7 linked regions of the Canis lupus familiaris genome follow. The protein of the gene in region 2 interacts with the protein of the main gene of each other region in a pairwise test. Links are inferred from orthologs where the notes say so. Each region holds a gene or a part of one and is shown on either strand. Other genes may lie near its edges.

Region 1 (4,212 bases), on a different chromosome or scaffold from region 2:
AATAAGTTGCTCTCCAGTGGACTCCCACGGGATGTTGTTCCTAAATCTAATCATTAAACAAATATTTACAAGATGCTTACACAGATGCTTATACTGCTGGAATTTAGACCCTTCCATGACTGTCCTTCCCATCAGACTGAGGTGATGTAGGGTATGACTGTAACCGATTCATCTTGGTATCACCAATGCCTTGACATCATGCCTGCCACTTACCAGGCATTACTAAGAGCTGACTATTTGCACCAATGAAGCAGTCGACTGGAAAAGCCCTGTGCAGGGAAGTGTAAAGTGTGAAGACAGGGCACCTCCGTTTCCTCCTCCGTGTGAGAGGGACTAGAGAGCCTCCTAAGCCCATGACAACTCAAAGTTTTAGGACAAATTGGGCAGCCAGTCCGGCTGACTGCTAAAATCAGTGAACCAAATGTAAATCCTGAATCAGCAGAAACACTGATACAGCTTTATGATGCATGTCCATTTGGGGATAGTCTTTCCCTTTGAAGAGCAAACTCTGAAATTACATCTCCAAATGCAAAAAATAATTGCACGCAACTGATTGCCCTTTCATCAGGCCTTTGTAACTGGCAAAGGCACTTGCGTTTGAGTTGGGCGCTAAGCTAGAACCCAGCTTTGGACCTCAACCGTCAACTCTGGACCTCACCGCTTGCTCTCTGCACTCAGGTTGAGAAGACATGATTGTAGTGAGGGGAGACTGCGGTGGAAGCAAGAGACAGAACAGTGAAGAAGAAAAAAAAATGGAGCCGCTTCGTTTACAACTTATTCAAGAAGGCACATAACTCCAACTCAGAAACGATTTCAAACCAAGAGAAAGTATCTATTCGACCACGACGGAACAGAGAAAGGAGAAACTACTAGTCAATACAGCGTACCAGGTTTATGTAATTCTCTGATAATTTAGATTCTCATTTTCTAGCACGCAGGAAACCGGCCTCATTCTCCTTTATACTTCCAGAACCTAGTGGAGTGGCAGGCAACATTTAATCAATGTTTCTTGAACCGAAATGGTTTATCTTTACGAGAATCCAAAGGGGAGGTTTCATGATCCCCAACCTAACACCGGAGGGAGCTGACGCTCCGACAGCCGACCCGCCCAAGTTCACCAGGCTGGCGCCGTGATCTATCCCTAGGCTGGCTGGGTCACCTCCCCTGGGCGCCACCGCAGGCTGAGCGGGAGGCGTCGGTCGGGTCCTGCCTCCCCGGTTCCAGCGTCTCCTCACCCCGGGCGCCCGGCCGCGCTACCTGGAGCACACAGTCCGACTGCAGCAGACAGGCGCCCAGGTCCTCCTTCACGCCCGCGCACGCGCCGCCCTCCGGCTTGTCCTCGTAATAACGGGGCATGACTGCGTCCCCGCCCCAGCAGCCGAGACCCGCTGGCGTCCGCAGCCGCAGCAACCCCTGTGGGGCGCAACGGACACCCGCGGAGGGAAGGAACCGGAACTTGCAGCCACAACTTCCGGCGGGCCCCCGGAAAACTACGGGGCCCGAGAGGCCGCGCGCACGGCGGAAGTGGGTGCACGTGACGCGCCGCGCCCCCTGCGCCGGCTACGTTGCGGGAAGGGAAGTCGGCCCGGCGCCTGCTGGGTCTGGCTGCTGGGCGGAGGTGGCGGGTTAGCTTGGACCTCTTGGAGGCCGCAGGGCGGCTCCAGGTGAGACCCGAGGACTGCTCCGTGCACGCGCGGCTCGGGCTCGCCGGCGCCTTTCCTCCGGCCCTTCAGGGCGCGCCGGCCCTCGGCCCCGGAGTGACCGTAGCCGCGTCCGGCGGCTCGGCCTGCGGTAGGGCTGCCAGATAAATAAGCCAACGACGCCCGTTTACGCTTAAATTTCTCATGAACGACCGACAGCGTGTCCGTGTCTGTCCCACCCAATGTTTCGGACAGTCTTCTACTGAAAGTTATACTTGTATCTGAGATTGATTCGAATGTAACTGGGCGTCCTGTGTTTTCATCTGCTAAGTATGGCGACCTTCCCCGCAGCCCCGGGGTGACGGGGAGCCTCTGGAGCCGGCGCGGCGCCGGGGGCGACCGGGAGGCCTGGGGGCGGGGCGGGAACTGGGCGGCCGGCCTGTGAGGGCTGGACGGTGAGCCGCGCTCCCCGGGCTCCAGGCTGGGTCCACCGGCCTCCCACGCTGCCATTCCCTCTGCTGAACTATTCACGGAGTAATGCACTATGGGGCTTGAATCTTGTTTTTATATCATATTCCAGTGAAAGAGTTGCTTGGTGGTCTTGCACTGATGGACCCATGTGAACATGCCATTATTTTACCTCGTCGGTAACATTGTTTCTAATTGGCTTTTAAAACCGATTCCCTTAAAAGGCCTGGTGGTTTAGAGCACGGGAGTTTTGGCTCCATAGTCCTCTCTGTGCTCCTGAGGGGGTCCCTTCACCTCCTAGTGCTTTTCTTTCTGCCTCCCTCTCCTCCCTCCCTGTGGTTAACAGTGACTACTAGGGGGAGCTTCCCCAGGCTTGAGAGAGGTGAAGCGTGGGAAACCTACAGACCCCGTAGAAGTGCTGTGAGGGTTCGGAAGGGACAGTTCTTGAGCCCCCAAATAAGCCTCAGAACCACCTCCATTAGCTTTTGACCCCTGACATTTACCAAGGATTGGGGCGGAAATGTAAGATGGCATCCCTCCTGAATATCTCAGAAGAGGATACAAGAGGATATCCTTGTAAAAGATTTTTTTTTTCTTCTATCTAGGAAGATGTTACCGAGTACTTCAGTGAATTCCCTAGTGCAGGGGAACGGAGTGTTGAATTCCAGAGATGCAGCAAGACACACGGCTGGAGCAAAACGCTACAAATACCTGAGAAGACTTTTTCGTTTTCGGCAGATGGACTTTGAGTTTGCTGCATGGCAGATGCTCTACCTATTTACTTCCCCACAGAGAGTTTACAGAAATTTTCATTACCGAAAGCAGACAAAGGATCAGTGGGCCAGAGATGACCCTGCTTTCTTGGTCCTCTTAAGTATTTGGCTCTGTGGTAAGTGTCAGTTTTTCTGTAATAGAGTTGAAGAACAGACTGGTTTGTTTTTGTTTTTTTTTTAAAAAGATTGTATTTATTTATTAGAGGATGCAGGGAAAGGGACGGATGGAAAAGGAGAAGCAGGCTCCCCACTGAGCAGGGAGCCCAACACGGGGCTCTATCCCAAGACCCAAGGTCATGGCCTGAGCCGAAGGCAGAAACTTAATCAACTGAGCCACCCTGGTGCCCCGAAACTTAGTGTTTTAGATTGTACTTGTCCTTTGCAAAATCTTTTGTTATAAACATATTGTGGGTCAGGATTTAGGATATTTGAAGCTGTTTCTTCTTTTCTGAAGCCTCAAAAATCTCACAGGAAAGAGTGTTGTTTTTTCTGGTTTCGAAGGTCCCAGGCAGATGCCAGAGTAAATTGTTTCTTCGGAACATGGAAAAGCAGAAGACAGAGTCACTCCGTGTCTTTTAACTGCTATGATAAAGAAGTTGATATCAAATGCAAACTAACTGTGAAAAGGACTATCAAGATGGGAAATTGCATTTCACGGGCAAATCTAGAGTGAGAGTGCTAAAAGTACCAATGCAAACTTGTGAAACTACTTTTAAATTCTCCAATAATGTAGTGAGAGAGTCCTAACTACCTTTAGGATATAAATGTATAAGATTTTTTTCACCTTTACCTGGGCTTAAATATGTGACTGCCTTTTCAGAACCTGTCCTGAATTTATCACACAAATCTTTCTTTCAGTGTCCACTATAGGATTTGGCTTTGTTCTGGACATGGGATTTTTTGAAACGATAAAGCTTCTCCTTTGGGTTGTATTCATAGATTGTGTAGGCGTTGGTCTTCTCATATCAACTTTAATGTGGTAAGTATCATAATTTGGATTTTTCAAGTCCTGCTGTAGAGCCTGCATTTGCTTCCTTTAGAGATACAGTAGCTGATGTGCACTGAAAGCATGAGTTTAAATTTTTTTTTTATCATTGAAATATAGTTGACACACAATGTTACATTAGTTCCAGGTGTACAACATAGAGATTTGAGATGTATATACATTATGATATGCTCACCAAGATAAGTGTAGTTACCACTTGTCACCTTACAGTGTTGTTATAAAATTGACAGTATTCCCTATGCTGTACTTTTTATCTCTGTGTCTGATTTATTTTATAACTAGAAGTTTGTATCTCTTAACCCCCTCCACCTATACCACCCATTCC
Region 2 (4,149 bases):
TCCATAAACCCTTGCCCCTCAACCATGGTGACCACAGCAAGAACACTGGATTTAGAGAACAGAAATAAAGAAGCTAGAATCCCAGATACCTGCAATTCTAGTTGAAGCCCAGATCCCTAACCTGAAATGAGTTTATCCTATCTCTGGGCTAGAGAACCCCTGAAACTACGTAGGAATGAGACCTCCCTGCAAAACGAGAGCACCTACCTACTGCCAATCTCTTAAATTCAATATATCCAAGGTCAGCTACCCTAACCTCAGCCATAACCCCCATAAAACTAACCCTAATCCCTAATATTAACCCTGACCCTAATTTGGTTCCTGTTTCCCAACACTGGCTTTGACATTCATCCCTTTCCTGGCAGACACCCGTCCCCAATCCTTGATCCCTAATATTGATCTACTTTTTACCTCTAGGAATGAATTTCCTGACCTTAACTCTAAATGTTGATCTCTAAGCCTAAAACTGTTGTCTCACTTGACTTCTGATCCATCCCTTCGCGATTTATCCCTAGTTCCATGCTAATGTTCTCTAATCCCTAAAAAACTGGACTTCTAATTTAAATCCTGTGTTGACCCTTAAACCGGCCCTGAACCCTAACTTTGACTTACGTTGGCCAGAAACAGAATAATGACCTAATCCAAACTCTACCTACATAAAACGGACCCGACTCACACTGGTAACTCTAAATGTCAACTCCGGTTTTTAACTCCGTAAGCTAACCTTTAATTCCTAAACCCAACTCTACCTAATTCCCAAACTCACCCCCAGCTTTCCTACCCGCATACTCACTATCAGCTAACCTCAAAGCCGATCCCCGCCCTGCGCCTCACTGTCACCCAACTCCTCACCCTCCCCAAAACTTATTCCAGACAGAGAGGACTTGATCCCAGGAAAGGCTTGGCTCCCTTAAAACGACCTACTTAACTTCCGATCCCAAGCCGAGATACACTGGACGCTGACCTCTCCAACAGGACCCGAAACAGCGGACGCAAGGGCCCCGCCCGCCCTGCCACCCGCGCTGCCACCCGCGCTCGCGCTCGCTTCCCGGTCCTGGCCGTGCGGCCCCACCCTGAGGCTCCGGCTCGGCCCGGTCCGGCCTACCTGCGCTGCCCGGCTCGTGCCCCGCCCGCCGGCCCGATAACCCGCTCGCTCTCCCGGTGGTAATCGGGCTTCGGCCTCGCCCTCCCTTCGACACTCTCTCGGCCACTTCCGTCCCCGGAACGTCCCCCACCCGCGGGCGGCGCCCTGGGCCCGCGCTCTATGGTTGTGGGGGCAACAGGAAGCTGCTCTGGCCCCAGCTCTCGATGCTCGGGAGCCGGCCTTAAAAAGGCGCCCCCCCCCGCCCCCCGGCCGGCTCCCCCGGCAGGAAACAAGGGTGCGGCGCAATCCGGGAAGACGCCCGAACTGCGCGCGAGTTCCCCTTTGGTCTCTAACCCTTCCTTTTTTTTCAGCCTGGGGCCGAGGCGGAGGCGGCCTCCCAGATTGCCCGCCCTCAGGGTGTGAGGAGGCCGCAGGGACGTCCCCTCTATTTGCAGAGCTCCCGGGACGTGGCGCGCCGCGGCTAGGCCACTTCCGCGTCGGAGGGAACTCCAAATCCCGTGGTGCCTCGGGGGTGTGCGCGTCACTTCCGTGGTGTTGGAAGTTGCGGAGAATCGGGTCTTGGGGGCTGGTGCAATTTCAGAGCGACAGGTCCGGGCTTGCGGATAGGTCTCTCTGTACATCTTTCCGGTTGTTATCCGGTATGGAGCTGGCGTTGGACTTGGGTGACCAGGACCTGCTGGATTTCCTGCTAGAGGAAAGCGGCGATTTGGGGGCCGGGCCGCCGCTTTCCGAGGTGGGTGGGGGCTGCGAGCCGGGGAGGCGCGGGGATCCCGGGAGAGCGTTCATGGGGTGGTGGGTAGTTGATAGGTCAAGGCTTGTTTATTTGAACCCTGTGCAGGCGTTGAGTGAATGGGAGGCAGAGGATTTCCTGAGTTCCATGCTGAGTCCCCCAGCATCGTTGAACGTCCTTAGCTCCTCTGATTCCTGTCTCGTGCACCATGATCACACCTACTCTCTCTCACAACAGCATGTTTCCATAGATCTAGGTGAGTCTGAAATATGATGAGGAAGAAAGTGAGGTTTGAGGGGAGGAGAGGCTTCGTGGGTCTGGCTATTTATACTTTTCGTTTTGCAGATGGTGGGAGCTATGGAAAAGAAGAGGCCCAGACGACCCCACTGCAAGTGGAGGAGCCCGCAGAGCAGGTACTTGATTTATGGCGGGATCATTCCCACATTGCGCGGGTGGGGGCGGATTCCCCATTCCTTTCTGTCATCCCCTTGCAACTCTGCTGCCCACCTCCTGGTAACTAATCCCAGGAGATTGCTAGGCTGATACTGACAGATGAAGAGAAGAGGCTGTTGGAGAAGGAGGGGCTTACTCTGCATGGGACGCTTCCTCTTACTAAGGTAAGACTCCCATTGGTGGGAGTGAAGGCTGGAGGGATGTGTTGTGGATCCCAAGTGTGCACTTCTGTTAACTTTATGTCAGGAAGGACTGAGGTTAGAAAACTTGGCAAATTTGTTGGTAATAGGAAGCTGGAGCATGATGTTAATATGGTGGATGCAGAGGCAGATCCTGGTTTTGTGGGGCTCATACAAGTTTTGGTGTTTTCTTTGAGAAGAATTCAAAATCATCGATGCAACATTAGTGTAGGGTCTTGGAAGGGACTGTGCAAGCAAACTCATGGTAATCCACCTGTAGCTAAATGGTTAGAGTTCATCAAGGCTGGACTAAGTAATATAGCAAGAATAATTGTAAAATCCCAAGTTTTAAGTTTCAGGCAATGAATAGCAGCTTCACAAGCACAGTATTGTGGTACTGTTGTGAAACCAACACTACAGGAAGGTTGAGAGAATTTTCTTAAAAGTACAAGATGGGTTAGTTTGAGATGACAGAGAGTGGGGTTTGAAGGCTGTATCAGTAGAGGTGTTGCCTCTAGAAGGGCAGTGACCATCTTCTTCTCCATTATACTGGCCAGAGCACATCTTAGTGTCTAGTTTTGAACCCAGATCTTTGACAGATATTAAGAGGATGCAGTCCATCCCGAAGAGAGGTGAGAAGTTAATTTTTTTTTTTTTAAGATTTTACTTATTTATTCATGAGAGACACACAGAGAGAGGCAGAGACACAGGCAGCGGGAGAAGCAGGCTCTATGCAGGGAGCCCGATATGGGACTTGATCCTGGGACTCCAGGATCGTGCCCTGGGCTGAAGGGAGGTACTAACCTGCTGAGCCACCCAGGCATCCCGAGAAGTTAAAATTTTTGCCCAGATCTTTTAACTCTGAAGAAATGTTAAATGGCTTAAATTAAAGACTGTTCATTCTGGGATCCCTGGGTGGCTCAGCAGTTTAGCACCTGCCTTCAGCCCAGAGCGTGATCCTGCAGACCCGGGATCGAGACCCACAGCAGGCTCCCTGCGTGGAGCCTGCTTCTCTCACTGCCTGTGTCTCTGCCTCTCTCTCTCTGTGTGTGTGTCTCTCATGAATAAGTAATAAGATCTTAAAAAAAAAAACAAAAAAAAAACCTTCATTCTATATGGTCTCAGAGATAGGTACCAGGTAAGTTCAATTGATAGAAATCATAGAGGCAGATGTCGGTTAGCTTAGGATAAGGAAAATTTAAAGATTTTTTTTTAAAGGTTTATTTATTTTAAATCTTTTTTTTTTTATTTTTATTTATTTATGATAGTCACAGAGAGAGAGAGAGAGAGAGGGGCAAAGACAGAGGCAGAGGAAGAATCAGGCTCCATGCACCGGGAGCCCGATGTGGGATTCAATCCCAGGTCTCCAGGATTGCGCCCTGGGCCAAAGGCAGGCGCCAAACCGCTGCGCCACCTAGGGATCCCGGTTTCCTTATTTTAAAGAGAGATTGTGCTTGTGCATGCAAGCAGCAGGGTGGGGCAGAAAGCAAGGGAGAGAGAATGAAAATCTCAAGTGGACTCCCTGTTAATCACAAAGCCCAACGCGGCACTCCATCCCATGATCCTGAGATCATGACCTGAGCTGAAGTCAAATCAGGAGTCAGACTCCTAACCAACTGAGCCACCCAGGTGCCCCAAGATTTTTTGTTTTGTTTTTATTTTTAAAGATTTTATTTATTTAT
Region 3 (3,428 bases), on a different chromosome or scaffold from region 2:
TAAGTGCCATGATCTGATCTATGTTTTTAAAAATCCTCCATATGGAGCATGGACTGAGCAAGGTTATCAAGACCAGAAGTAAGGCCAGGCAGGTCTCACTCACAGTGAGCAAACTGGCCTGGTGGAACTTGGAACCAGCTGGAGATGGCAGGTGTTGTCTGAGGGAGCAGCCACCACTGCCAGTTGGGACCAGGTGGAAATGAGGGCCCAGGCTGTGAGCTCTTAGTGGAGAGGAAAATCATGGGCTCTGTTCATTCATCGGTAATCCATTCACACTAAACACGCATACTCCCTAGGCCCAGAGGCTCCAGTCTGTAAATGGGGAGAGAGGGCCTGCACTGCAGCATCACTGAGAGGATTACAGGACAAATGGGGTGCAAAGTTTACTCATTAAAGGGTGCCCCACACGCTGGCTCCGCCCCGGGGTGGGTAATTTAACCCACAGCCCCACCTTCCCCATATCATGTGCTTCCCTCCTGACTGCTAAGGGCTGTTGCTCACCTCCTTCTGGGCCCAGAGTGTGTGTGTGTGTCTCTCTCTCTCTCTCTCTCTCTCTCTCTCTCTCACACACATACACACACACACACACACACCAGGGGGTGGGGGACAGCGACAGGGCTTCACAGATCCCATCCTAGGCCGGCATGTAGAAGGTATCCCTCTACTCTGCCCTCAGTGTCTACCCACCAGCCTCCCCTCCCTTCTCCAGAGGGAGAAGGAGCCTCGGGCCAATAGTACCTGGCCTTCCCCTGAATCGCTGGGAATTTAGCCCTGTCCCCTCTCCCTCCCTCCCTCTCTTAGTTGCATTGGTGCATCAGCAGGAAAGCTAAGGCCTAGTGGGTGTGCACTATGCACAGACTCCACCCTCCTCCTCAGCTTCTAGACCACTCATGGACCAGCTGTGGCTCATGGTGTCTCCCCATCCCTTTCTCTCCAGCCCTGCACTCCAGCCACCTAGCCTCCTGTTACTTCCCTGCCCCTGCTGATCTCTTTCCTGATGCAGGTTCTCCAGTATGACTTTTTAGCCAGTTCACCTTGAACAAAGCTCTTCCCAGCTTTGCACCCTTATGTCAGCTATAAAGTGCATTGGTCATCCCCAGCTGGGCGGCAAGAAGGAGGGCAGCCATGAACCCTTTACTTGGCCCAGAGTGGGCATGGATGGCTATAGTTTTTCAAATCACTATTGCATGCAGGTGGCCCCTTCTCCCACCCACCCACCCATATTATTGTCATAGAACTCAAACAACACCATCCTTTCTCTTCTCTATCCCTGCAGGATACTTTTGTGGAACTCTACGGGAACAATGCAGCAGCCGAGAGCCGGAAGGGCCAGGAGCGCTTCAACCGCTGGTTCCTGACAGGCATGACTGTGGCTGGCGTGGTTCTGCTGGGCTCGCTCTTCAGTCGGAAATGACCAGACACTGACCACCCACTTACCCTCCCACCCCTGTCCTGCCCCTACCACACCCCTTTGTCCAGCCACCATTGCCACCAGGAGAACCACTACATGCAGCCTACGGCCACCTTCCCATCACAGGGTTGGGCATAGACCAGGTCTCCCGCAATTAGTTTTCTAGAATCTACCACGCTTCTGTGAGAGCCGCCTTCCCCACACCTCAGTTCTCTGGCCTCAGAACCCACAAGGTTTCCCCAAAATCTGCCCCATGGAAGCTGGCAGGTGTGGGGGTGTTTGTGGCTGGGGGCTGGAGTCCCTGCCTAATTGGTGGAAAACCCCTTAGCCTCACCAAGAATGCTTTCCTGCCAGGTAGCTGGAAAGTTTCTGACCTTTTTCCCCAGAAGGAGAGACTAGATTGCCTTCGTTTTGATGTTTGTGGCCTCAAAATTAATCATTTCCTATCCCTTCCAGAACCTAGGCTCCCCTTCCTTTCATCCCTTTCAAGAGCCACTTAGGGGCCACTTCTGACTAATTAGGGATTCAAGCTGCTTGGGATAAAGAAACAAGGACCAGGACCTCCTCCCCACCTCTGGCCTGGCCAAAGTCCTTGACCCCAATCCCAATGTCCTCCAAAGGCCCCTGGATAGAGGCCAGCCCCACCCAGGAGGAAGAGGGCTGTAGCTGCAGGAAGCACCCCGTGCCAAAGCTGGGGTGGCCCTTGCAGTTTAGCACCACCCCAGTTCCTTTCCCCTTCCCCTCCCTTGGCTCCCATGACCATGACTAAGGGACCAACTGGGCTCAAGGCAGGTGCCCCAGAGCTGTTGATGGCTTCAGCTGCCTGACTTTCCTGCAAGAAGATCAGCGTGTGGCATCTTTGCCTGGAGCTACTTGCCCATGGAGCCCAGGGATTCGGGGGCCTTGGCCCAGAGGTGAAGGGGAGCTACAGGGAGCAGCTGTGGGAGCCCTAGAGTCTTCCCTACCTCAGGCAGGAAGGGCAGGAAGGAGACCCTGATGCACAGGGTGGAGGTGGGGGTGGCAAGAGGGGCCAGACCTACCTGGCCAAACAAATATATGCCCCACTCCCATTCAGCCTGGGGTGCCAGGCTGCCAAGGTCAGAGTGGCCTGGCCAGGAGTCCTTCAGGCCTCCCTCTCCTCTACTCCACCCATGGCCTGTCTCATCCCTGGGGGTCCCGGCCTATCCCTGGCCATCCTGGGCTCTCTGCTGTACATATTTGAGACTAGTTTTTATTCCTTGTGAAGATGATATACTATTTTTGTTAAGCGTGTCTGTATTTATGTGTGAGGAGCTGCTGGCTTGCTGTGCGTGTGCACGTGGAGAGCTGGTGCCCGGAGACTGAACGGCCTGATGCTCCCTCCCCTGCCCTGGTCTGGGGAAGCCAGCTGGGGGTCCTGGCTCCTAAGGGGCACCTGTCCCCCCCCCCAACTCCCCCCCACACTTGTTCCAGCTCTTTGAAATAGTCTGTGTGAAGGTGAAAGTGCAGTTCAGTAATAAACTGTGTTGACTCAGTGAGCAAAGGGCCTGGGCTCTTGTGTGCCCTGGGCTGGGGAAGGAGGGGCTGTGCGGTTGGCAACAGGGCTGCAGGGGAGCTGCGCATCACTGCTGGCTCTGCTGCCTTCAGGAGAGGGCCTTGGACAAGTCCCTTCTTCCACCTGGGCCTGAATTTCTCCACCTATTCTTTGATGGGGGTTTTATTGAACACCTGCTGTGTGCTAAGCAATGGGTATGTGGGAGCAGGATGGATGGATGGACACAGTCTCTGCCCTCAGGAACTGACATTCTAGGAGAAAAAACAGCCACTTGGCAAGTGTTTACTGAGTCCTGCTCTGCCCAGGCACACTCCTAGGCACTGGGGATTCTACAGTGAACAAAGCCCTTCCTTTATGGAACTCGCATTCTTGGGAGACAGACAAAATATAAGGATGAGACAGTCTGGCTGTTGGAGGGCAAAGGTAGAAGCTAAATGACCATAAGGAAGAAGGACAAGACTTATGAAGGACCTAGTGGGGAAG
Region 4 (3,247 bases), on a different chromosome or scaffold from region 2:
AGAAACAAACTCAAAAGTAAAGGGAGATGAAACAGGGTTACAGGCATGGGCCTGGAGGTGGAATGGAGAGAAGAATGAGTAGGGTCGAGATAGGAATTATGGGGGGTGAGGTAGGGGATGAGAAAGTGGGGGTGGGGCTATAAGTGTGATCTGGCATGGGGATGGGAATGTGGATAGGGTTAAGTCTCTTGGGATGAGGATGGGTTTGAGTCTGGGGCTAAGCTTAGATTTGGAGATGGGGTTGGGGCAGAGTTTCTTTCTCCAAGAAGTTGGAGGTTAGGTTAGGTTGGAGGATGGGATTAAATTAGAGGTTGGAACTGGGGTTAAGGAGTGGATCATATTTAGGGTTGGGGATGTGACTGGCTTTAGAGCTGGTCTTGATGATGTAAATAGGGCTTGCTTTAGGAATCAGGTTGGGGTTGAGTTTGTGCGTAGAGCTGGGTTATGGATGGGGTTGAATTTGGGGTTAGGTTTGGAAATGAGAATGGGGTTGGGTTTTAGATGGGGTAGACATCACAGAAGGCCTCTGTGCCCTGACATTCCCTTCACCACACACCCATGGCCCAGACTTCCTGAAGCCTGTCTGCTGTTCTTCACTAGAGTTATATGCACCGCCATTTTTGTATTGGTGCCCTTGTTATTGCTGACCTGAATTTGCCCCTGAGAGCCTGTCCTTGTGAACATGTTCTCAGGAGTGGCCAGTTACGTCAGTGATGAGGGTCTGGGTGAGAGATGGGGGACTGCAAACTGGAGTCTCCAATGATGGAAGATGGAAGAAGCCCTGGCCACTTGAGTCACTCTTGGGTCTCCATTTTACCAGCTGTTGTGGGACTGCTGGCTTCATGACAGGGGTCCTCTTCTAGGCCATGAGGAATGGCCTGCACCTTCTACCTGGGCTATGGCACCTTTACCTTATACCTGCTCATTGGTGAGGTGAGGCACTGCTTAGGGCCCATTGCTGGTATGGGAAGAGGCGGCTAGTGCTTGGAGGGTGGGAGGGTCCTGTGTGCCTGCCTGTGTCCCTCAGGCACCCTGATCCTGGCAATGAAGCCCATCACACTGGAGGCCCTGCTCAAAGTAGAGCTCTGTGAACTCTCATCAGAGGAGGATGTGGGCATGTCATGCTCTCCACAAACTTTCAGAATTGTGATTCTCCACTGTTTGCTTGTCTTGGGTAAAAGCTCCAGGCAGGGATCCAGGAGTCTGAGACCCTGCTTGCTTGCCTCTTCCTCAGGACCCAAGTCCAGGCCTCCAGCCCTCTATCCCTTCAGTTGCAAGCATCCTGGCCTCCAGGCCCCTCCTTCCGCAGAGACACTAGAGTTGGGGCCCCCTCTTCCAGAATGGAAGGTTGCAGAACCCACAGGAAAGCATGACACAACCCCTAACTGTCCCCTTTGGCCACATCCCCCCCATTTAACTCACACCCTGGTCTCATCTGTCACCTTCCACCCTGAGGCCCCCAAGCCTCTCTCACACCTCTTCCAGGAAGAAGTCTCCTCTGATGTTGAGGGTTCCAAGGGTGGGAGGTATAGAACCTAAAACAGAGGTAAGTTCTGAACCACCACCCAAACCACTGATGATATGACACCCTCCCCCACCACACACTATGAGGAGAACTGGACCTGTGCGGGGGGAGGACAGGGCAACCAGGAAGGGAGGGTGTAAGGCAAGAGTCAGTTACCCGGAACTGTGTAAAACCAAACCAGCTTGGTTTTAAAGTCTTGAGTCTCTTTCTTGAGCTCAGAGGACCCATCCGCCCAGGTTACCAGCCTCTTCATCTCCAGGACCCAGACACCCAGTGCTCACCTACATGGAGCCCTATCGGTCCTTGGCTCTACTCACTGGCTCCCTGGGCCTGGTGTCCATCCTGATTGCTCTGAGTACGGATTTCTGGTTCGTGGCCATGGGGCCCAGCTTTACATTTCACTCCGGCCTCTGGCCAAAGGGGGTTTATAACAAAGTAGCAGGTAAGGGAGAGGGGTCTCTTGTTGGGGGCGGTGGGCTGCCAGAGGGGCAGGCACCAAAATCTCACCTCCGTACAGACTACATCCGTGCGACGCAGAGCCTCACCATTCTGGCTAGTCTGTCGGTCCTGGTGTCGGTGATCTTCCTGGTCCTGTCCTACATCCCCTTACTGTCCCTTCCAGGCCACGGGCGCCTCATCTCCTCTGTCACAGCCTTTGCTGCAGGTAGACTCTGGGCTGTACTTGGGCACTGGGGACCGGAGTTCCTGCAGAGGGGCTGAGCCCTGTCTCTCCTCTCCATCCTCAGGCCTTTTTGCGATGGTGGCCATGGTGGTCTATACCAGTGAGCGGTGGAACCAGCCTCACAGCCCCCAGGTCCAGACCTTCTTCTCCTGGTCCTTCTACCTGGGTTGGGTTTCGACTGTCCTGTTGCTCTGTACAGGTGACTGTTGCTCTGGGAACTGGAGGCGGTCTGGGGTCTGAGAGAGCAGAGTGGGGGCAAGCGCTAACCTCTCTCTGCCACACCAGGTAGCCTGAGTCTGAGTGCTTATTGTAGAGCCTCCCGGCCTGGCTATGACACCTTGTGAGCTGAAGGCGAGACCAGGAGGAAGAAGCAGTAGTCACAGAAGATGTCGTCAGGAGCCGCAGGCACCCACAGGCCTCCCTCTAGCCCTTACCCCTAGCCCTCCTGAGACCCCTTCATTTGTTTCTTCATCCATTCAACAAAAATTTGCTGGGATCTGGTTAATCTTTCTTTTTTCTTTTTAAGATTTTAGTTATTTATTTGTGAGAGACACAGAAAGAGGCAGAGACACAGGCAGAGGGAAAAGCAGGCTCCCTGAAGGGAGCCTGATGTAAGATTCGATCCCAGGACCCTGGGGTCATGACCTGAGCAGAAGGCAGATGCTCAACCACTGAGCCACCCAGGCATCCTGGAATCTGGTTATTCTGAGATTAATTCCGACACGACATAAACTGAGCTCCAAGGTGGGGACACTAGGCACACAGAAAGGAGTCAGAACCCCCACCTGTGCTCAGGTAGCTCCCGCACACGACTGTGTGGATTCAGGCACGGTCCCATGTCTTTTCCTTCTCTTGCCCTTATCTTTCTCCCTGTTTCCACCTCAAGACTCTCTGTCCTTTCTCTTTCTTCTTTATCTTTCCATCTCACTCCTGCTCTGATTTTGTCACCCTGGTCTTCACTCTGGTCCTCCTTGCCCACTTCATTAATTCACTTACTCCTTCAGCTGGCTTTTCCTGAGCTCATCTTTCCTGCTGGGTCT
Region 5 (2,469 bases), on a different chromosome or scaffold from region 2:
CTCTCCCTGCCTTTCCCAAACCCAGGCAAGTGCTCAAGCCACAGTGAATGGACAGAGGGCGGTGCTTCAGGGGAGAGATGCTCGGTCATTCTGCTGCACAGGCAAAAAGCAGGAGGCCATGGCGGCCACTCACCTCCTGCCCACATGTCGAAGGCCCGGGCCTCGATGAGCTCACCGCTGACCCCTGGGTTGAGAGGGAGAGAGGGGTCCTGCTGGGCGAGCCGCCAGGGCAGCTCCACCCTACCACCTCAGCCCCCTGAGGTGAAGCTAAGGACACAGCGGTGGCCACTGGTGCAGACCTTCTGGAAGCTTTTCAGACACGCCTCCATATTCATGCCCACTGTGCCCCCTTCTTCGGACGGCTGCAGCCCACCCAAGGCTGTGCCGGTTCTGTGTGCCATTGGAGGCTCTCCAGGGGCTCCCTAGGAAGCACCTCCAACCTCTTGGAAGCTTCTGGTTCTTTAGGGATACTGTGCTTTTGTTTCTTGGGTCACTTCTTCTGGGGAAGCTTCTGCTGGCACAGACCGTTTCCCAGGCCTCCCTGGGCATTCCCAGCAGGGAGGCGGGGGGAAGACCAAGGCAAATATCCAGACACCTGCTCACGGGGAGAGCACGGGGCGGGGGCAGGGTGGCAGGTCACGGGCTGGCTCTGCTTCTGTGCTCTGAACCTTGATCCCACGTCACAGGGACTCACCATTCACGAGGGCGATGTTCAGTCCCCGGCCCACGTTGTCCTTGACACTGCTCATGAGCCTAGCGGGGGGAGCGGGGAGCGGGGAGGCAGGGCCCTCAGATGGCACATTCGCTCCACTCTCCCTCACAGATCCAGCTTCTGGTCCCCCCCTCCCCCCCGCCCCGGCATCCCCCGTCCAGCCCACAGAGCTCACATCCTATCTTCGAGGCAGATCTTTGGTCCGATGACATTGGCAGCTCCGCTGACCATGCGGAAGGCCAGGTGCTCCTCGGGACATGGCTGGGGCAGGCCGCATTTGTACTTCCGGGCTCGTGGCTCTGGGCAGGGACAGCAGGGGTGACCCATGGGCCTGGCCCCGGGTCACCTGAGATCTGAGGGGGGGAGGTCAGGACCGGCCCACAGGGGGTAAGAGTGGCCACAGAACAGGGATACTTCCACCGACACCGCATCCTCCTGGGGCTGGCCTCAGGGCAAGGCGACAGGACCTCAGGGGGGCTTTTCTGCCACTGGCGGGAGACAAGAGGTAGGAAGGCTGGCCTTGGCTGTGGCCCTGGCAGGAACAGAGCAGAGGTGGGGAAGGGAGCAGCTGGGAGGGCGACCGCAGGAATGCGGTGACGAGGAGAGCACCTGACCCCCATGGGCAGAGGTGGCAGGGCAGGAGGAGGGTGGCCTCCGTCACAGGTTGGACTGTAACCCATGAAACACGTGTTGAGGTCCTAATTCTAGCACCTACGCATATAACCCTGTTTGGAAATAGAGTCACTGAAGATATGATTTGTTAAAATGAGCTCATCCTGGATCAGGGTGGCCCGAAATCCAATGACAAGGGTCCTTATAAGAGGCAGAAAAGAAGACACCGAGACAGAGAGGACTGAGCGCAGACAGAGGCGCAGACGGGAGGGATGCAGCCACGAGCCAAGGATCCCCTGGGGCCCCCGGAAGCCCGAAGAGGCAGGAAGGACCCTCCTCTGGAGCCTGCAGAGGGGCTGTGACCCTCCAACAGCTAGATTTCAGGCTTCCAGCTTCCCGAACATTCCTGAGACAAGAAATGTGTGGCGTTTAATCCATCCAGTGTGTGGTAGGTTATCCCAGCTGCCCCAGGAAACGGAGACAGATCTTCACCGCAGGTGTTGGGGGCTGCTGCCGTTACAGGTCCCCCATGTGGGAAATGGCTGCAGGATTCCGAGGGGCAGCTAGGCCAGGCCGAGACTGCCTCATGGGACTGCCGGTACAATACGGACGGACAAGGCGGGCCTTGTCAGAAGGGGGCCAACGACTCGGCCACATCCTATTCCAACGTTCTGTGTAGAACGGGACTTGTAAGTGCGGACCTTGGATATTTAGGTGAGGACACCTCCCCACGCAGCGTTGAGGGCACAGCCTGGTTTCTCCCGTTTGCTCCCAGGAAGAGCCGTTGAAAACAGAATTGCCAAGCACAGAGGAACCAGAATGTGAACGCTTGGAAAATACTCGGTCTAGCGCTAGTGCGAAACGCGAGAAAGCAGGCTCTGGATAGAAGAGCAAGGCTGTGGTTGGAGGGCCGGGCATCGAGCGGGAGCATCCAGGAGAGACCTGCAGGGCCCTCCTGTCTCACGGCTGAGCCTCATGAATCGCAACAACACAACAACAAGGTTTTTGAGGATTTTATACCGGCGGAAACGCTGCCATCGTGGGCCGACAGGGACAGAAACAGGATGGAAAGAAGCAAGGAGTGCTCTGAGGGCAGAGCAGCGGCTGCAGAGGGCAGGGACAGCACGGGCCCAGATGATTCTTCT
Region 6 (4,032 bases), on a different chromosome or scaffold from region 2:
GACTTCTTGATGGGAGCAGGGCGGGGGAGGCCTTGTCCTAGTCTAAGGCCTGGGATTGAAAAACTGCCTGAGGGAGCCACATAAAGAAAGCATGTATCTGGGCTTGCCTTCCTTGCTTCCCCAGCCCTTCCTGCTAGGAAGTGGGGGGGTCCTTTCTCCCTTGCCCTGCGGACAACCCCCAGCAGACAACCCCCAGCAGAGTCTTGACCTCGGAAACTCCCTTTCCCCATCCTGTACTCCGCACTCTCCCTGGCCTGGCTCCTGCAGCCCTCCTCCCCTGCCCCGAGATGGTGTTGGGGGTCGCCTGGAGTCCAGCTGGTGGCCAGTGCAGAGCCACCCCTTTCCTGGCCCTGCCCCTCCCCATGACCCCAATCCTCCGCCAGCCACTCAAAGGCGCCTTGTTCTCCATCCAGCCCCCAGACAAAAGTCCCTCTGTCTAAAAAGGCAGAATTAGGGGGAGGGGGCACCCCAACGAGGACCATGTGGGGGCCTACACAGACCCCAGCCAGAAAGAATGCCATGAGGAGGAGGGGCAGGAGGGGTGAGGGAGGGAGGGGGCCTTGCACCACTGAGCAATGGCCTTATCCGGAGTGGGAGGCAGCCTCCACCCCAACGCCCTCGGCCTGGACCCAGGCATCTGGCTCCCAGCACCCTCGGGAAGAGCCCGAGCTAGGAAGGTCTGCCGATGCTCAGAAACCAGTTCCCAATCTCTCCAGGGCACGTTGGGCACTTGGGAGCGAGGTCATAGTCTAAAGCCCGAAGGCGCCCACCTTCCACTCCTGTCACCACCTTCCACCTCATGACCTTGGTCCTATCAGCATCATCTGCTGACCCTCAAGGGGTCGGAAGCAACAGGCGATCTGGAAAGGGACTTCAGATATCCTGAAACTGCCACCAAGCCCTCCTGGACCAAGTGTAGCACACAATCTAAGTGATAGACATGAGATTATCACCCCAGTGCCTCGCCTTCCCCCCACCATTCTTCCAGACAGAAGCTTTGCTGTTGGAGACCTCAACCTTCTTCCTTCCAGGTCCCTTCCACGGGGGCGAGACATTGAAGAAAGCCCCCTGTCCTGATGTGAGGAGCAGAATCCAGCCCATCGTATGCCCCCTCCGCCTACCTGAGGCTGCTGTGACCTTGGGGACCTCAGGGAGCACCCTGGCTGGGAAGAAGGATGTGGGAGCTGTCTCTTTAAGAGCAGGAATGGGGTGAGAGAGCCCCAGAGCTTTAGGGAGTCCGACTTGTTCTCTACCTGCCCAGGTTTGCCTAGGGCGTGGCAGCTGCGGATAAAGGCAGGACTCAGGCTTAGCAGCTGCATTCCCTCCCTTCTCTCCCAGAACTTTCCAAGCCTTCTGGGGAGCCACACAGGTGAGCGGCTGGGGTCCCCTCCCTCCAACACCCTCTTGGCTCTGCCCCCAAACCACTCCAGCTTTCCCACTGATCTCTGTTAAAGACACTAACTAGAACTTCCTCCTTGCAAGGATTTTTCCGGGGAGGGGGGGGCAAGGAGCAGGAGGCAGGAGATTAGACAAAGCATCTTCCATTGGCCTGATCGGGGGTCCCCCTGACCCTGATCATTCTGCCTTGAGGGGACTGGGTGAGTGAGCTGGGACGAGGGTAAGGTCCACATGTGGAAGCGGGGTGCCTGGGTGGATCGCGGGTGTCAGAGTGGACCAGAAGCATCTGGGTTGGGCGTATCTGGGTGGACAGCGTTGGAGAGGGGTGCCTGGGTGGACGGGGGTATCCAGGTGGATCAGGGCCAGATTGAGGGTATCAGAGTGGATGCGTGGGTGGCGGGGTGGACTTGGGGTATCTAGGGATTGAGGAGTGTGGGTCCTGGAGCTTCTCAGGAAAGGGGATGGTGGCTTCCTGGGGAAGCTATAAAGTGGGGAGTTGGGTAGGAAATTCCAGGGACATGGGGGAGTCATTCTGCGTGGGCTTGATGGCCACCGTCATGGAGAGGCCAGCAGAGCGCGGACGGTGGAACCGGCCATCGCACTGGTGTTGGGACCTGCAGGGCAGGGAGGGAGCCTAGAGGGGTGTGCAGAGCCCCCATCTGCAGGCTGTCATCATCTCCAAGTCCTCACACCAACTACAGTCCCTTCGGGAGCAGCTCAGGGCCCCTTCCAACAGCAGCCTGGGCCGGGAAGGGAAGGTGAGGGCAGCCTGCACTGCAGGAGAGCCAGGCTGGAAAGTTTGTCCTGGGGCTGGGGTGCAGCTGAGATCACCCTTAGGTCTCCCCTGTGCCGGGGACGCCTGGACAGGCCCTGGGGATGGGGAGTAACAGAGCCCTCACAGCCGGGGGGACTTGGTGCATTCCATGGGAAGAGGTTTCAGAGCTAGGGACTCTGGGCCCTGGGTGAAGCAGACAGCACTAAGCTGAGTGAGCAGGGGTTACAAGGCCGTGGCAGCAACGTGGGGTGACCACGGTGCCAACATCATTGAGCGGCGAAGATTCTATGAGTGAAGAGCTGAGACCAGTGCCTGGCATGGGGTAACCGCTCAAGTAGGCCCTAGCTCTCACTACGCAGGCATCCTCTCGGGTGACAAAGCCTCACGAGGTAGCTTTATGTATTATTTATTTTTTAAAGATTTTATTTATTTATTCATGAGAAACACAGAGAGAGGCAGGGACATAGGCAGAGGGAGAAGCAGGTTCCATGCAGGGAGCCCGAGGTGGGACTCGATCCCAGGACCCTGAGATCACAACCTGAGCTGAAGGCAGATGCTCAACCACTGAGCCACCCAGGTGCCCACGAGGCAGCTTTAGAGGATAGGTGGTCCTCCTACAGACCTGCGCCCTGAGCCACCAGGCTGTCCTGCCCACACACCCGCTCCAGCTCTTCTCCCCAATCTCTGGGGTCCTAAATGCCTTAGTAATGCTCCCCAAAGCTACGGGCCCCTTCCTGCAAGAAATGGTTGCATTTGAGTCCACTGTAGGGGGTTAACCGCTGAGAGGATTGCCAGGACCTGAGTGGGCACAGGGACAGGGAGGAGTGTGTGAGAACAGGCAGGAAGGAGAAAGAAACTCGAGGTGGGGGTTACGTGGGGGGTACGAGAGAGATGGGTGGTTCTCTTCAGCTGTAGAGAGGATCCTGGGGATGGAGCAGGGAACGTCCAGGGGCTCAGTGAAATGAGGGCTGGGACAGATCACCTCCGGGGGTGCCAGGGGGTGCAATGGGTGAAGACACAGCAAGGTCGCTGGGCAGTGCCCAGCACAGGATGGGTCGGAGGACAGGCGAGTTCTGGCTGTCAGCATTTTGACAGTGTATGCTTTTGGCAGCAGGGCAGGGGCAGGGGCAGGGGCAGGGGCAGGGGCTGGGGCAAGAGCAGGGGCAGGAGCCGGGGCCGGGGCTGGGGCTGGGGCTGGGGCAGGGGCAGGGGCTGGGGCAGAGGCAGGGGCAGGGGCTGGCGCAGGGGCTGGCGCAGGGGCTAGGGCAGGGGCAGGGGCAGGACAGGGGCAGGGGCAAGGGCTGGGGCGGGGGCAGGGAGAGGACATGGGAGGGTGCACAGAGAGATGGGGCTTATCTCAGGCACTCAGGATGGGGGCAGGGTGGGCTGATACCAGACCAGGAAAGGGACGGAGGGATTCTTTTTGCTGCACAGCCCTATCTGGGGAAAGAGGAAATAATGGCTGCCAGGAAGAGCTTGGCAGGAGCTGGGGCAGGGGCAGGGGCAGGGGTAAGGGCTGGGCAGGGGCAGGAGCTGGGGCAGGGGCAGGGGCAGAAGTGGGGCAGGGACAGGAGCTGGGGCGGGGCACAGGTAAGGGCTGGGGCTGGGGCAGGGGCAGGGGGTGGAGCTGGGGCAGGGGTAGGGGCAGGGGTAGGGGCTGGGGCAGTACAGAAACCAGGGCTTCCAGGGTTGTGGAGACAGATGGGACTGGGGCTGCAGCCAGGTGGCTCCTCCCTGCTCTGGCCCCCCCCCCCCCCCCCCCCCCCCCCCCCGCACCTCCACCACCTCCACCCCAGGCTCCAGTGCTCTCCTCTGCACATCCTGCTCTGAGCAGCCTAAGGAGCCAGCTCCGGCCTGAC
Region 7 (3,500 bases), on a different chromosome or scaffold from region 2:
ACCTAAGTGACCTGTAACTGCCGTCTTTTGGGAGATACATAGGATTTACTGCCTTTTTTTTCCCCCCTCTCCATCTAGCATGTATCTGCTGAACTTCTCTTTTGTGAGTGACACAGAGGGGAGATTGAGAATACTTGCATTAGGATAATAACCGACGCAGATTTCTTTTTTTTTTCTTTTTAAAATTTTATTGATTGATTCATGAGAGACACAGAGAGAGAGGCAGAGACACAGGCAGAGGGAGAAGCAGGCTCCATGCAGGGAGCCCGATGCGGGACTCGATCCCAGGACCCCGGGGTCATGACCTGAGCCAACGGCAGGTGCTCAACCGCTGAGCCCCCCAGGCGTCCCCACAAAATGTCTTCATGCCATTTTTCATTAGCTCTTTCCTCGCCACATGACTTTAGCCACTGCCCTTCCTCGTTGGCAGGTACCTCACCGCTGTCTGGTTTCCGTTCATTTTTATTAAGTAACCACTCGACAGTTATTACTGAAGTATAATTTATATACCTATTCTCAAGGCTCATGTAAATAAAACATAGTATTAGAAACACCTGTATTTCTGCCAGCGTCTACCTTTATTCAAATGTAACTTACCAAGGGATTAGTGGAAATTCAAAGTGATTTTTAATGTCATGAAGAAGGCAGTGGTGGCTTTAAGACCTTGTATTCGCCGAGGTAGGCACCTACTAGCTGCGGCATCCCTTATCTTTTGGTGGATGTAGATGAAAGTGAATCATTGTAAGACAAAGACATCCAAAAGGTGTTTCCTGATAGAATAAACTTAAAAGGAAATGCTCGATTTCACGTCTTTTGTCAGTAGAGAACTCAAATAGGAATGGTGCTCTGAAAAGAAATTCCGTATTTTTTAATGTTCTCTTCTTTATTTAAGCTGGTATTTTCTCATTTTATCTCATGGTGCATGTTAACCTACTGGTGCGTCAGTATTACTTAGATAATATACAGTGCTCTGTGTTGATGATTTTTTTTCTTCCTCTTCAAGACTCAACGATGAGGCACGACGGCTCATTGCTGAGTTGGGGAGTACGTCTATTACTAACCTTGGTTTTAGAGACAACTGGGTCTTCTGTGGTGGGAAAGGCATCAAGACAAAGAGCCCCTTTGAACAGGTTAGTGTCTTCTCTTAGACTTTCACAATTAACGGACAAAAGGAAATTGCGTGAAACCGTGTGGCGTGTATATTCCTCTCCTGGTTATTTGGCCCTTTGACAAAGCAGCCATTAAGTGTGTTCACGTATTTTTCGGAAGCTCCTGGTAATCAGGTATTTGGAATGCCCATGGCCCTGTTTTAAAATCAAACCTGAAAAATAGTCCGATTCTGTTCTGCATGGGAAATTTTTCCCTTCTGTGACACAGTTCCCGGCATATATGTTTGCTGCTGTCACGGGCCATTTAGGAAGCGTTCGTCACTAACGAGTCCAATCAGGCTTTTGACTCTATAATCTGCTAAGTTTAGAAATATTCCAGAATGCGGTCGAATGTAGGCCTGACCGCTGTGTTGTTCTTTGGGCTGTTCCTCGGAAGCCTGCCCGGCCCGAGGGTTCTCGTTGCCTGTCTGGCGCCGTAACATGTGTGGCCTCCTCGCGGCCACGGGTGTCGCAGAAGCGAGTTCACCAAAGCCGGTGACAGGAGGCAAACTGTTCATAAAGCGTTTTCTTCCTTTAAACCGTGTGTATTGGGAACCCTGGGTGGTGCAGCGGTTTAGCGCCTGCCTTTGGCCCAGGGCGCGATCCTGGAGACCCGGGATCGAATCCCACATGGGGCTCCCGGTGCATGGAGCCCGCTTCTCCCTCTGCCTATGTCTCTGCCTCTCTCTCTCTCTCTGTGTGTGACTATCATAAATAAATAAAAATTAAAAAAAAATTTTTAAACCGTGTGTATTACTGTATTCCAACAGCACATAAAGAACAACAAGGACACAAACAAATACGAAGGATGGCCCGAGGTGGTCGAAATGGAAGGATGCATCCCCCAGAAGCAAGACTAACGCCGGGGACGCTGAGGGAAACGCACTTTCACTATTCCTGGCAGAGCTGAGACGGAGAAGCCACGTGTAAATACTCCCGGAGCATGCAGCCATCTCGATGTGTGCATGAGCATCATCCCTTTTGATATCAGGATTATTTATTGCTGACGTAAATAGATGCCTTTGTAAATAGTCATCATAATGAGCAAATCACTGAACCATTTCTAAGCACATTTCCCTAATAATAGTAGAGTGTTAGACGCCTGCAGGAACGACGGCCTTTATTCTGGAGGCGTACCCGGTGCCACCTGAACAGAGGGTGAAAAACATACTGATACATAGACTGGTTGCTGTGAAAACCTATCGTCGAGTAATAAGGATTTTGAGGAGGAGACTTTCTTTTCTATATGTATATATATATATACGTTCATGTATAGATATGTATATATATATATATGTATGTTGCCTTTTAATGATAGTATCTTTTAAATTAAAAAGATGCTTGGCTAGTTGCGTGTGTGCGGCGTTATTTTGCAGTCTGACTCTCTGGCATACCTATTTTCTTAGTGTTTCTCTTCTCTTCCCAAAAACCTAAGAGTAAATGATATGAAAACCTGTATCAGATGTGTGAAAAGCACAACAACATGTTTTTTTTGTTGTTGTTTTTCTTTTCTTTTTTTTTTTTTTTTTAACGTACCCAGTAAAAAAGGAACTCTGTAGAGGTAGCTGGTGTTCAGGGCTGGCGCAGTCTGGGTTTTGAGTGGGCAGCGTGAGTAACTGGATTTTACAGACCTGCGTAGCGCGCGGCCCCCAGGACCCCCCCGGGAAGCGGCCGCCTGGCTTCCCCGCCCGGACCGGCTGCTGGGGGACAGTCGCGGCGGGGGCCGTGGGGCAACGCTGGCAGATGTCTCCTTGCCTGCTTGTTATCAGCATTGGCCAAGCGGTTTGGAAAGAGGCATGCTTTAATATCACCATCATTTTGATGGTAAACCAAGAAACACAATTCTGTAGTTACTTCATCTAATTTCGTAATAGTTTTTGCCTGAAGATACGACGACGTATGTAGGAAAGTCTTCATTACTGAGTGGACTGATAACATTTAAAAAAGTGATTTTGTTTGACTCCAGATGACTTCATACCCAGTTCTGCATAAAATTTTGTTCATTTGAGATGTTCACTAAATGACTCTAGTTTATTTTGTTTTTGTTTTGTTTTATTGTTGGGGCATTAAATACCTACGGTGTATGAAGTATCTTAAACTGGAACATAAATTAATGATCAAACTACTCACCATAAAAGGCAGCACTTAAATTTTGAATCTAAATTTTAGAAAACTTGTATAAAAAAACCTAAAGGCAGTATTTTTATTTTGCTGTAAACCAACTTGGAAGCTGTTCAGCTATTTCTTAAATATTAATGAACTTTGGGGTACTGGTTCTTCTCTCAAACTGAATGTAATTCAAGGATAAATGCACCTTACACATTTAAAAGAATTTTTGTGAACTTTTCAGAC

What was found.
Region 1: the proteins of CREB3 (region 2) and UNC50 interact in a two-hybrid assay, tested with the Homo sapiens proteins (2 studies listed by BioGRID and IntAct). The two-hybrid records come from large-scale screens. The link is inferred for Canis lupus familiaris from reciprocal best matches to the Homo sapiens genes CREB3 and UNC50.
Region 3: the proteins of CREB3 (region 2) and BCL2L1 interact in a two-hybrid assay, tested with the Homo sapiens proteins (2 studies listed by BioGRID and IntAct). The two-hybrid records come from large-scale screens. The link is inferred for Canis lupus familiaris from reciprocal best matches to the Homo sapiens genes CREB3 and BCL2L1.
Region 4: the proteins of CREB3 (region 2) and NKG7 interact in a two-hybrid assay, tested with the Homo sapiens proteins (2 studies listed by BioGRID and IntAct). The two-hybrid records come from large-scale screens. The link is inferred for Canis lupus familiaris from reciprocal best matches to the Homo sapiens genes CREB3 and NKG7.
Region 5: the proteins of CREB3 (region 2) and FAM3A interact in a two-hybrid assay, tested with the Homo sapiens proteins (2 studies listed by BioGRID and IntAct). The two-hybrid records come from large-scale screens. The link is inferred for Canis lupus familiaris from reciprocal best matches to the Homo sapiens genes CREB3 and FAM3A.
Region 6: the proteins of CREB3 (region 2) and FXYD3 interact in a two-hybrid assay, tested with the Homo sapiens proteins (2 studies listed by BioGRID and IntAct). The two-hybrid records come from large-scale screens. The link is inferred for Canis lupus familiaris from reciprocal best matches to the Homo sapiens genes CREB3 and FXYD3.
Region 7: the proteins of CREB3 (region 2) and FAM3C interact in a two-hybrid assay, tested with the Homo sapiens proteins (2 studies listed by BioGRID and IntAct). The two-hybrid records come from large-scale screens. The link is inferred for Canis lupus familiaris from reciprocal best matches to the Homo sapiens genes CREB3 and FAM3C.

What each region holds. Positions count from the first base shown.
Region 1 is NC_049231.1:45,120,337-45,124,548, reverse strand, and holds the start of UNC50 (protein unc-50 homolog), read left to right. Parts: upstream 1-1,412; 5' UTR 1,413-1,524; intron 1,525-1,530; exon of another isoform or gene 1,531-1,664; intron 1,665-1,754; exon of another isoform or gene 1,755-1,970; intron 1,971-2,713; 5' UTR 2,714-2,717; coding exon 2,718-2,997; intron 2,998-3,739; coding exon 3,740-3,860; intron 3,861-4,212. Other genes in the region: COA5 (cytochrome c oxidase assembly factor 5), read right to left, coding at 1,258-1,356. UniProt on the Homo sapiens protein: Involved in the cell surface expression of neuronal nicotinic receptors. Binds RNA.
Region 2 is NC_049232.1:52,553,895-52,558,043, forward strand, and holds the start of CREB3 (cyclic AMP-responsive element-binding protein 3), read left to right. Parts: upstream 1-1,349; 5' UTR 1,350-1,745; coding exon 1,746-1,838; intron 1,839-1,943; coding exon 1,944-2,091; intron 2,092-2,180; coding exon 2,181-2,248; intron 2,249-2,362; coding exon 2,363-2,452; intron 2,453-4,149. UniProt on the Homo sapiens protein: Endoplasmic reticulum (ER)-bound sequence-specific transcription factor that directly binds DNA and activates transcription. Plays a role in the unfolded protein response (UPR), promoting cell survival versus ER stress-induced apoptotic cell death.
Region 3 is NC_049245.1:21,645,027-21,648,454, reverse strand, and holds the end of BCL2L1 (bcl-2-like protein 1), read left to right. Parts: intron 1-1,276; coding exon 1,277-1,414; 3' UTR 1,415-1,438; intron 1,439-2,841; 3' UTR 2,842-2,928; downstream 2,929-3,428. UniProt on the Homo sapiens protein: Potent inhibitor of cell death. Inhibits activation of caspases. Appears to regulate cell death by blocking the voltage-dependent anion channel (VDAC) by binding to it and preventing the release of the caspase activator, CYC1, from the mitochondrial membrane.
Region 4 is NC_049222.1:106,223,649-106,226,895, forward strand, and holds NKG7 (protein NKG7), read left to right. Parts: upstream 1-1,395; 5' UTR 1,396-1,546; intron 1,547-1,596; exon of another isoform or gene 1,597-1,784; 5' UTR 1,785-1,810; coding exon 1,811-1,967; intron 1,968-2,042; coding exon 2,043-2,189; intron 2,190-2,271; coding exon 2,272-2,406; intron 2,407-2,492; coding exon of another isoform or gene 2,493-2,520; coding exon 2,521-2,732; 3' UTR 2,733-2,747; downstream 2,748-3,247.
Region 5 is NC_049260.1:123,394,522-123,396,990, forward strand, and holds part of FAM3A (protein FAM3A), read right to left. Parts: intron 1,012-2,469; coding exon 888-1,011; intron 754-887; coding exon 695-753; intron 185-694; coding exon 134-184; intron 1-133. UniProt on the Homo sapiens protein: May act as a defensin against invading fungal microorganisms.
Region 6 is NC_049222.1:118,298,803-118,302,834, reverse strand, and holds the start of FXYD3 (FXYD domain-containing ion transport regulator 3), read left to right. Parts: upstream 1-1,232; 5' UTR 1,233-1,369; intron 1,370-1,453; exon of another isoform or gene 1,454-1,598; intron 1,599-2,743; exon of another isoform or gene 2,744-2,750; intron 2,751-4,032. UniProt on the Homo sapiens protein: Associates with and regulates the activity of the sodium/potassium-transporting ATPase (NKA) which transports Na(+) out of the cell and K(+) into the cell.
Region 7 is NC_049235.1:59,539,127-59,542,626, reverse strand, and holds part of FAM3C (protein FAM3C), read left to right. Parts: intron 1-1,003; coding exon 1,004-1,130; intron 1,131-1,918; coding exon 1,919-2,008; 3' UTR 2,009-3,500. UniProt on the Homo sapiens protein: May be involved in retinal laminar formation. Promotes epithelial to mesenchymal transition.